Linked DNA regions of Caenorhabditis elegans. The protein of the gene in region 1 interacts with the protein of each later gene in a pairwise test. Each region holds a gene or a part of one and is shown on either strand. Other genes may lie near its edges.

Evidence for each region.
Region 2: the proteins of ccm-3 (region 1) and psme-3 interact in a two-hybrid assay, tested with the Caenorhabditis elegans proteins (one large-scale study listed by BioGRID).

The regions. Positions count from the first base shown.
Region 1 is NC_003280.10:10,605,212-10,608,838, forward strand, and holds ccm-3 (Programmed cell death protein 10 homolog), read right to left. Parts: upstream 2,065-3,627; 5' UTR 2,055-2,064; coding exon 1,981-2,054; intron 1,925-1,980; coding exon 1,882-1,924; intron 1,800-1,881; coding exon 1,600-1,799; intron 1,545-1,599; coding exon 1,295-1,544; intron 995-1,294; coding exon 914-994; 3' UTR 506-913; downstream 1-505. Other genes in the region: taf-13 (Transcription initiation factor TFIID subunit 13), read right to left, coding at 1-121, 260-391. UniProt on the Caenorhabditis elegans protein: Involved in excretory canal elongation during postembryonic development. Plays a role in promoting Golgi stability, ER integrity and vesicle transport probably by regulating the activation of Rho GTPase cdc-42. Involved in fertility.
Region 2 is NC_003281.10:11,566,362-11,573,888, reverse strand, and holds psme-3 (Proteasome activator complex subunit 3), read right to left. Parts: upstream 5,753-7,527; 5' UTR 5,749-5,752; coding exon 5,539-5,748; intron 2,692-5,538; coding exon 2,267-2,691; intron 827-2,266; coding exon 715-826; 3' UTR 546-714; downstream 1-545. Other genes in the region: Y66D12A.10 (MITD1 C-terminal phospholipase D-like domain-containing protein), read right to left, coding at 5,997-6,141, 7,257-7,325, 7,371-7,527.

The sequences.
Region 1 (3,627 bases):
AGTGAATGTCCTCAAGTGCCATTTTATCCGGTTTTCCAACTTTCATCGCCAGTTGGCATAACTCTTTGATGTAGTTTAGGACAATGGCCTCAAGAGTGTCCAGGGTCTTGTCGTATGGCTCCTGAAACATTTATTTATAAACAATTCAGGAAATTATCAATCGGAATCTTAGAAAAACCGCTCATTTAATTTCTTTTTAATTTGTTATAGAAATGCAAATAAATTTTGATTCAAAAAGTTGCACAGCCCTGTTACCAACCTTATCATCTCCAAAGCCATAGACCATTGATCTCAAATCTCGTCTCAGCACGTGCTTCTTATCCTCCGGATTTACCACCTTCTCCTTGTCATCTTCGGCATCCGAGCCGAACAGATCCTCTTCGTCATCCATTTTTTAAATTCTGAAATTAATTTAAAATTGGTCTGAAATTTTTTAAAGTGAAGTTAATTAGATATATAATAAGTTTTCGACAACAAGAATTGCAATACAGTCAATTAAAATATTAAAAATTTCTGAATAATTTATCACGTTATTTGGAGAAGAAACCGACTTATGGAAAAAAATCTAGTACATCAGTGGGTGAAAAAACGAGGAAAAATCAAAGAAAGGCACATGAAAAAGAAAGGAAGAATGATAATTGAGCTACTTATTACAATATTTTTGAAGTGAAAAAAATCCGAAAAACCATATAAAGCATAATACGTTAATCATTTTCCTAAAATTTCAGTCAATAAACAGAAAATTGGGAAAGGAAAAATCATAGAAAGAAGAAAGTGTGCAGATCCGATGTATAAAGTGATGAGTGTGTGGATGAGAACAAGAAATTAAGTGAACAAAAAATGAAAGTAAAACACATGCAAAAGGAAAGAGCCGTCTAGTAGATCACAGTTATAAGCCGCCATATGGGTGAGCTTATCCTCGGCGAAGTTTTTCGTTGATTGTGCGGACTATCATTGTCGTTTGGAAAACCAGTTGGTTGGCGGACACGGATACCTGCAAACATTGAATTTAGGCTCAGAATTTGTTTTAAAAAAATGGATTTTAATATTATTCAAGAATTTAGTTTGATTTTCCCAAGATTTGGGGAAAATTTACAGGTTTTTATTTTAAAAAAAAGTCCAAATTTGCCGAATATCGATGTGAAAAAATTAAAAAAAAATCTCCCTGATTTTATATTTCAGTGCGAATTTTTTCCCAGAAAAACCGGGGCTTTTGAATTTTTCACATAGATATTCGGAGTCAAGGACAAATTTCGACGCATTTAAGTAAAAAAGCACATTTTTTCCCACGAACCTGATTTGCATTCTGATCTTTAAAATACGTCTTCAAAGTGTTACTGAATCTTTTCGAGTAGTGCACAAATTCCCGTTTACGTTTCTCAACGGCCGGCTGCGCAGTGAGTGGAACAATTCTGTAGACGGCGTTTATTGCCTCAAGAAGTTTCTTGATTGATGATGCGATGAGCTTGATGGTCTCCAGGAAGGCGTGACGATCCGACATTTCTTCGGGAACCCGGGACAGAACACGACGAAGCTCGATTGCTCTGTAATTTTTTTCGTACGCCAGGAATTTTGAAAAAAATTATCTAATTTGATTACCGTTTCGTGAGCTCTTTATAATCAGCATTCTGCTCATATCCACTGACAATCAAATCATTTGTCGGCGAGGTGTCATGCATTCTCAGATAGGATTCCTGCAGATTAACGCTCAATTCCGAGTCATCCAGCAAAACTTTTGTGAAATCATAGAGAAACGACGGAGAAGCTTGTTCACAAGTGGTCAGTGCAGTGTGCAGTTTCTGAATAATTCTTTGTTAATTTATTTTTTTTCGTTTAACAGTATAAAATTCATAGAAAATATTCTTATATAGAATAGCTTACGTTTAGGGCGAGAGAAGCTCTTGGATCATCACGATGTTGCTGTCTAAAATATATTTTTTAAATTATTATGTTTAAAAACTGATATTTCTTGAAACCCACTTAATTTTTTCCATCACAGGACTGTACAGGCATTGATATGTCATCGCTCCAAGATATCCACCCTCTTCGTTCATTGTGAAACTGCTGAAATGAAAATCATGATTTTTGAGTGAATTTTAAGAGGAGAAAGCTGTGTTAAAAAAGGAAAAACCCGCATACGATCGATTTGCATCGCAAATACATACAGAAATCAAAAGCGGAGAGAGACGCAGATAATAAGGCGAAAAGTTGGAGAAATACAGAGGAAAACGAGGAGAGTAAATATAGGAAGAAAGTGAACGGTCGGAAAGGAATGTGAAAGCAGAATTCGAATTCCTTGGAGAAACTTATGAGTCATTATAATAATAATAATAACGGTTTTTATCGGTTTCGCATGATAACCCACCCAGAAATCGATGCAATTGTTTTTTAATAGTTGAATTAATATTGTGAAATATAAGAAATAACATTAAATATGTTTTTTACTTGAAAAAATAATGAAAATCGCAAAAAATTGATAAAATCTGTTAAAAAAAGAACGAAAAAAAAAAAATTTAAATGAAATGTTCGCATTGGAGCGCACTTGCTGGCACCAGAGATGCTGCAGATTTCGAGATGAACAATTCTGGAGAACAAAGTTCTTGGAAAAATTTTAATATTCGACGTTAAAAATATATTTTATTAGTGCTTAATTTTTTAAATAATCAATTCAATCGCGAAAATGTGAACAAAATGTTTTTACTCAACTCAGACCTCGGTGGAGGTAAAATTTTGCAAATTTTGAAATAATGAATCTTTCAATTTTTAGCCTAGTGCACTAGCTAGTGTTATTTAGACATATAAATGCAGATTTTGCAAATAATAATCTCTGAGAATAAACAACGATTTCCAATATTCAATCAGATTTTCCTGAAAATATATTTTTTTAATTATAATTGTCCAGATCTGGCCAGATAAATTTCATGATTTTTCCCAAAGAATACGGTAGCAGGTCTCGTCAAATTTTCGCACACAAAAAGGTGTGTGCCTTTAAAGAGTACTGTAACTTCAAATTTTTGTTTCAGTGGATGTATTAAAGTTTTTTTTGTAAACTTTTCGAAAAATAAAAAGTTCTTCATCGAAAAATTAGTGGAAAATTATTTTTTCGTAAATCAATAAAAAGAAATTACAGTAATCTCTAAAGGCACACTCACTTTTCTATTTAATGATGGTGTTTCGCGACGAGACCCGGTGCCGTATTTCTGGGGACTCTATTATATTTTCAGCCCACCAGTGAAGGATATCTGTCAATAAAATTATGATATAGTAAAGAATCTCCGGAAAACAAGAAGTCACAAGTCCAATTCCCATCAATCTGCGTCTCAAAATCTTCCGTAATATCTTTTTTCTCCCGGCTGTCCGTCTCATCTTCCGTGTCATTCCTGCCGATCAATAGGAGATCCACTATTCACACCTTTGTTACGCTTCAGAGTATATTAACAATAGAGTCGAGAAAAAAACATTGAAATTTGTTTCATTTTATTGTCTTTTCTTTTCTAAATTGCTCTCAAAAAATGTGCTGATTTCATTTTTCTAGATGTTTCCTTTGGTCAAAGGTTTCGAGAAAAAACCAGTTCCCATTCCAAAAAATAGGTAATAAAATTGCGAACATGTACATTCAAGGTATAG
Region 2 (7,527 bases), on another chromosome or scaffold:
GTTTTGTTCAAATTCCGCCATTTTTTTCGAAATTTAAAACTCAATACTTCAATTTTAGTACAATTTTACAAGGCTGCAACGCTAAATTTTTTTCAAAAATGCTAATTTAGCGCTGAAGCCCTATAAAATTGTATTAAAAGTGAAATATTGAGTTTTAAATTTCAAAAAAAAAAAAATGGCGGAATTTAACAAAACTAAAAAAAAACTTTAAAAAATTTTTGACCAAAATTTCAGAAAAATCTTTTTTTTTTTGGATTTTTTATTCAAATTTTTTCGGTAAAAATTTTGTGGAAAATTTCAGGGTTTTTTTGCCTTTTTTTAAAGGCAATTTTTCTCCAGAAAATCCTAAATTCAGAAAACCCATGAAAAAACTGCTTAAATTTGAAATTTTGGAGTTTTTGTTCAAAAAAAAAAAGATGCAAAAAGTCTTTTTTTAAAATTAATTTTTTCACTTTTTTTTTTGATTTTTAAGCAATAATGAGAAAAAGGTAGATAAAAAAGGCCAAAAAACCTTGAAAATTTCACAAAATTTTAACAGAAAGAAAAAGAAAAATTAGTCTTAATAGAGCTCCTAAAAATGCGGAGAATAAACAAAAAAAACTGGGACAAAAAAACAATTCAACAATAATAATAAAAAACTCGAAAGAACAATCAAAAATTGGGTAAAATTTGAGACCGAAGCAAACATTAAAACAGGATGATGGATTCAATTCCTTAATAAAGATGTTCGGTGTTGGAGGTGCGTGGAACCTTGATCTTCTCATAGTTCTTCATAATCATATCGTGAAGTGTGGAGAAGTGATTGCGCATCTCGAGAACCACCAATCTGAAACACACAGAAATTCAATAAATTTTCGGAAACTTTACAAATATAAAAAAAAAATTCCCTCCAAAATGAGAACTGCACACGACCAATTAGCGATTCGCTCCGCCCACTTTTAAACCAATCAGATGGAGTGGGCGGAGCTCGGAGTTGCTGATTGGTCGGGGAGATTTCATATTGGAGGGAATTCGAAAAATCGTGTTTTTATTGGTTTTTTTCAAATAATTTTTTTTGAGTTCTGGTTTTCTTTTATTTAAAGATTTTTTGGGTTTTAAATAGAATTATAATATTTTTAATTTTTTTTTTTTCGTTTTTAAAACTATTTTCGGTTTTTTATATTCAGAAAAATTGCAAAAAATAAATATTAAAAATCTAACTTTTAAAACGCGATTTTTCAATTTTGGCTAAATTCCCTCCAAAATGAGAACTCCCCGACCAATCAGCGACGTGGAACTCCGCCCACTCCATCTGATTGGTTAGATAAATGTGGGCGGAGCGAATCGCTGATTGGTCGGGAAGTTCTCATTTTGGAGGGAATTTAGCCAAAACTGAAAAATCGCGTTTCTAAAAGTTAGATTTTTAATTTTAGCAAAAACAACGAAAAAAGTAGCGAAAAATGTGTCTTCGCTTTTTTTTTTTTTGGTTTTCTTTTGTGAAATTTCTAAAATTGAAATTTTTTCTTTCAAAAAAATGTTTTCGCTAATTTTCGCTCCAACCTAATGTTTATGAAATGGTTTTTATTTTATTTTGAAAAAATTTAAAAAAAACAACAATTTTTAAAGGTTTTTTTGGGATTTTTTAGACAAAAAAAAAAGGCAACCTTTTAACAAAAATTAGCATAAATAATTAGTAAATTAGCCTTTTAGCAAAAAGGCAAGAAACCTTGAAAAAATGTGTTTTCTTCTTTCTTTTTGTGAAATTTTTAAAAATTCGATATTTTATGCTAATTTTCGCTCCAGCCTAATATTTATGAGATGATTTGTATTTTTAAAATTAAAAAAAAACAATTTTTTTTAAGGTTTTTTTTTTTGGATTTTTTAGACCAAAAAACGGCAAAAAAAGTGTTTTACTTTTCAAAAAAATCCGTTTTTCGACTTTTTCTTTGAAAATTTTTAAAGTGAGATTTTTTCTTCAAAAATTCAATTTTTCGCTATTTCGCTCCAACCTAATATTATTGAACTGTTTTGAACATTTTTTGCAATTTTTCGGGTTTTTTTTTGGATTTTTAGGCTAAAAAGGTTTTAAAAATAGCTCAAAAAAGGAAAAACCTTTGAAAAAATCCGCTTTTTTTCTTTTTGTTGCAATTTTTAAAATTTTTATAGATTTTTTAGACCAAAAAAAGGAAAAAAACCTAGAAAAAATCGGTTTTTTTTTGAAAATTCCGAAATTTAAACTTTTTTTCATTAAAAAATTCAATTTTTCGCTAATTTCTGCTGCTCCAACCTAATATTAATGAACTGTTTCTCGTCCATATCAAGAATAGCACGTCTATAATCATCCACATGTGGATATTTAGCAATCTTCGTGATAAGCTTTCCACGAGTCGTAAAATATCGGCTCATTTGATCCAAAAACGAGGCGGCCTCGCTTTCGACATTCCGAACTTCGGACAGTGTCTCCTCTTGGATTCCGACGCCGAAATTATTGCCGTCTTCGATGCGTGGAATGAGCAAAGTGATCCACATTTTCACGTTGTTACACTGCTCGACAGCGTCACGAAGCTTCGGGCGAACCAGATCCATGAGTTGGGCGAGATTCTCGTTGCATGGGACAGTGCCGCTGCTGAACGCGAAGATCGGGGCTCCTTTGGGCTTCTCGTCGACTCGCTGACGCTTTACCGCTGGCTCATCGCTGTCCGTGGTGCCGTTCTGCAAAAATTTGGTTTTTTTTTCGCGTTGAAAAAAAAATTACAGAGAAAATTTCTTTAAATTTTGATATTTTCACTGCAACTTTTTCCTCACGAGGGACGAGGAAAAGTGGTTTCTAGGCCATGGCCGAGGGGCCGACAAGTTTCAGCGGCCATTTATCTTGCTTTGTTTTCCGCCTGTTTTCTTTCGTTTTTCACAGCTTTTTCACGTTTTTTCTTATTAAAACTGATAAATAAATACTTTTTGCAGATGCTAAAACAATTTCCAAGTAAAAAAATTATGTATTCAGTGGGCAAGCAGCGGTGAAAGTGGGCATTGTAATATGATGGATTACGGGAATACAAAACCTAAACTTTTTCTGAAACATGATACATATGCTGCTTAAATGCTGAAACTACCCGATTTTCATAACGAGACCGCTGAAAAAGTTTTGAGGTTTTCAAAATTCAAATTTTTGTGCGAAAATCTCGACTTTTTCACCAAAAAAGTTGAATTTGGAAACCTCAAAACTTTTTCAGCGGTCTCGTTATGAAAATCAGGTAATTTCAGCATCTAAGCATCATATGTATCATGTTTCAGAAAAAGTTTAGGTTTTGTATTCCCGTAATCCATCATATTGCATTGACCACTTTCACCGCTGCTTGCCCACTGAATACATAATTTTTTTACTTGGAAATTGTTTTAGCATTTGCAAAAAGTATTTATTTATCAGTTTTAATAAGAAAAAACGGGAAAAATCGATGAAAAACGAAAGAAAACAGGCGGAAAACAAAGCAAGATAAATGGCCGCTGAAACTTGTCGGCCCCTCGGCCATGGCCTAGAAACCACTTTTCCTCGTCCCTCGTGAGGAAAAAGTTGCAGTGATTTTAATGGAAATTGGTGAATTTTTCCATTTTTGAGATTTTTTTAAACTTTTTTTTTCGCAAAAAACCGATTTCTGTGAAATTTTCATGTTTTTTAAAGGTTTTTTAACGCTTTTTTTGCTGAATTAAACTGAAACTGGCTCGAAAAATGTCAAAAAAAAAAACTATTTTTTTGGTTCTTTTCTCTGAAATTACCGAAATTTTATTTAAATGTTCATACTTTCCTGTAAATTGGTAAATTTTTGCTTTTTTGAGATATTTTTTTTGCAAAAAAAAAAGACGATTTCTGTGAAATTTTCGAATTTTTCCGGCTTTTTTTGCTGAAATATACTGAAACTGGCTCCAAACGATTAAAAAAGGTGTTTCGTTTTTCTTTCTGAAATTACCGAAATTTTATTATTTTTTCCTGTAAATTGGCAAATTTTTTATTTTTTAACATTTTTTTGCAAGTTTTTTAGGCTTTTTAACGCTTTTTTTTGCTGAAATAAACTGAAACTGGCTCCAAAAATTGTAAAAATACTATTTTTTAAAAATGTTTTCCCCTTTTTTTGGAAATTGGCAAATTTTTGCTTTTTTTGATAGGATTTTTGGAATAAAAAGGCGATTTCTGTGAAATTTTCGAATTTTTACGGCTTTTTTTGCTGAAATATACTGAAACTGGCTCCAAACATTTTAAAAAGACTATTTTTTGGTTTTTAATTTTGAAATAACCGGAATTTTCTTTAAATTTTGATTTTTTCCTGTAAATTGGCAAATTTTTTATTTTTTTACATTATTTTTTGCAAGTTTTTACGCTTTTTTTGCTGAAATGGACTGAAACTGGCTCCAAAAATTAAAAATAAAACTTTTTTTTTGGTTTTTTTCTCTGAAATTACCGGAATTTTCATTAAATTTTGATTTGTTCCAGTAAATTGGTAAATCTTTGCTTTTTTTTTTGAGATTTTTTTCGCAAAAAAGGCGATTTCTCTGAAAGTTTAAAGTTTTTTTTTAATATGTTTTTTTGCTGAAATAGACTAAAACTTGCGCCAAACGCCCAGAATTTCAGATAAAAAGAGCCAAATATCGCTAAAATCCGAAATTTTCACAAAATTTTCTTGTCGAAGCAGCTGCAGCCATGGAATCCAGCTAAATTTCGCTAAAATCTCTCAGAAATTACCGAAATTGGTTGCCTATCGACGTAAAATATGCAATAAAGGGTTATAATTTAATGAAAACTAAAAATCTCAGAAAAAATTCGAAAAATGTGCAGAATTTTGCAAAAATTCGAAATTTCCGATTAAAAATTGGGTTTATTGAAATTTATTCAAGAAACCCTATTTTTTAATTAGAAATTTCAAATTTTAGCAAAATTCTGCACATTTTTCGAATTTTTTCTGAGATTTTTAGTTTTCATTAAATTATAACCCTTTATTGCATATTTTAGGCGGATATGAACCAAATTTTAGTCGTTTCTGTGAGATTCCAGCAAAATTCAGCTGTATTCCATGATACAACATAAAAATTTATTCGAAAATTCGATTTTCAGCAAAAATTGGTTTTTTTCCCGAAATCCGGATCGTTTTTGGCGAGTTTTAGTCTTTTTCAGCGAAAAAATAACTCGAAAAACTTGAAATTTTCACACGGAAATCGCCTTTTTGGCAAAAAAATTAGGGCCGTTAAAAAAAATGTTTAGAGCCAGTTTCAGTCAATTTCAGCAAAAAAAGCGTTAAAGAAGCCTAAAAAACTTGAAAATTTCACAGAAATCTGATTTTTTTTGTGCAAAAATCTTTAAAAAAAAGCAAAAATTTGCAAATTTACAGGAAAAAATCAAAATTTAAATAAAATTTCGGTATTTTCAACGCAAAAAAAGTATTTTTTTAATGTTTGGAGCCAGTTTCAGTCAATTTCAGCAAAAAAGCGTTAAAAAACTTGAAAATTTCACACGGAAATCGCTATTTTTTGAGAAAAAACTATTTTTTTTTTCGATATTTTTCCCCTCCGTACCAACGCATCCGGAATCGGAATATTCAACGATTTATCGGGAAGAATCTCGGCGAGACGATCGTACGAGAGCTTTGGGCTCTTGAGCAACGCGTCGAACTCGATAACTTTCTTCGGAAATTCCTCTTTGACGAGCCTCTCGGCTTCGGCAAAGAGCTTCTGCTTGTACTCGACGAGCTCCTTGTTCTCCGGCATACTTTGCTTCTTGACCATCGTGCTGGAAAATTTCCAGTGGAAATGTGGATTAAGCAGAAAATAAACGGAAAATTGTGGGGGAAAAATCGATAATTCGCTGGTTGGAAACCAAGAAATAGCTTTTTAAAAAATGAAAAAAAAACACACAATAAATTGGAAAAATGGCATTTTTTCTGGCAAATTGGTGAAAAAATCGAGATAAATTACTATTTACAACCGGAAAAGTGTGATAATTCACAGAAAACATTGAAAAAATACACGAAAAATCAAGTTTTCCGCTTCAAAATATTGATAATAGTCTCGTGGCACGGCCGCTGATCCATATCGTTGGCGCCGAGCACATATTTCCCATCGGAAGCTTTGAAATAGTCGAGCCCGCGGCCACTTTTCACCACCCAACCGTTGTCGAATCTGGAAAATAATTTAAAAAATGCATTAAAATCGTTTTTTAACTCAAATTAACGAAATTAGTTATCAAAAATTGGCTAAAAATGGCCAAGTGACTAAAAATTGGCCGAAATTGGGCAGAAAATGACTAAAAATTGGCCAAAAATGACTGAAATTAGTCAAAAATGATCGAAACTGGCTAAAAATGACCGAAATTGACCAAAAATAAGCCAAAAATGACCGAAATTGTGCAACAATAGCTAAAAATTGATTGAAAATTAACGAAATGGGCCAAAAATTACCAAAATTTGGCAGAAAATAACTAAAAATTGGCGAAAAATAACTAAAATTTGCTGAAAATTACCGAAATTGACCAGAAATAAGCCAAAACTGACTAAAAATTAGCCAAAACTGACTAAAAATTGGCCAAAAATGACTAAAAATTGGCCAAAAATGATTAAAAATTGACTGCAAATTACCGAAATTGGCCAAAAAAAAGCCGAAATGAGCGAAATTGGACAAAAATGATTAAAAATTGGCTAAAAATGACTACAAATTGACTGAAAATTACCGAAATTGACCAAAAAAAGCCAAAATCTACTAAAAAAAATGACAAAAAATAAGCCAAAAATGACCGAAATTGGCCAAAAATGATCAAAATTTCTGTCATTTTCATTCGTTTTGGCGAATTTTCGGACATTTCTGGCCATTTTCCAATATTTTGTGGCAATTTCGGTCATTTTGGCCATTCCTTTGGTTCTTTTTGACCATTGCTAGTCTATTTTTAGCGATTTCCGGTCAACTTCGGGAATTTGTGACTAATTTTATTAATTTTTTGGTTATTTTTGGCAAATTTCGGGCATTTCTGGCCGTTTTTAATCTTTTTTGGCCAAATTTCGGTCATTTTCCGGCTTTATATAGATATTTTGGACATTTTTGGCCACTTTTTTCGAAATATTTAGAGATAAACTACCAAAATATGCAATAAAGATTGGATAATCAAATAAAAGTGAACTTCGGACCGCTGCCACGCAGAAAAGTGGTCGAAACCGGAGATTTTAACGAAAATCCGGCCATTTATCGAATTTTTCAAGAGGTTTGAGCACATTTCGGGGGGATAAATTAATTCAAATCTGTACATAATTTCCCGATCATGAATTGTCGTGCTGAACTCGACGTTGAACATCACTCCGCGCTTCGCAAGGCTTCTGAAATCACAAAATTTTCTAATTTTCCCGGCGAATTTCCCCCACTTTGAGAGTTCCTCGAACTCTGCCTGATTCTTCCGTGCCTCTTCGCCAGTTCTCAGCGTTATAACGAGCAAATTCACCGACAACGGAACGACAAGCTCGCAGAATCGCACGAAATTCACGAGTTGATGGTGAGCACTGATGTAGGCGTCCTGAACGT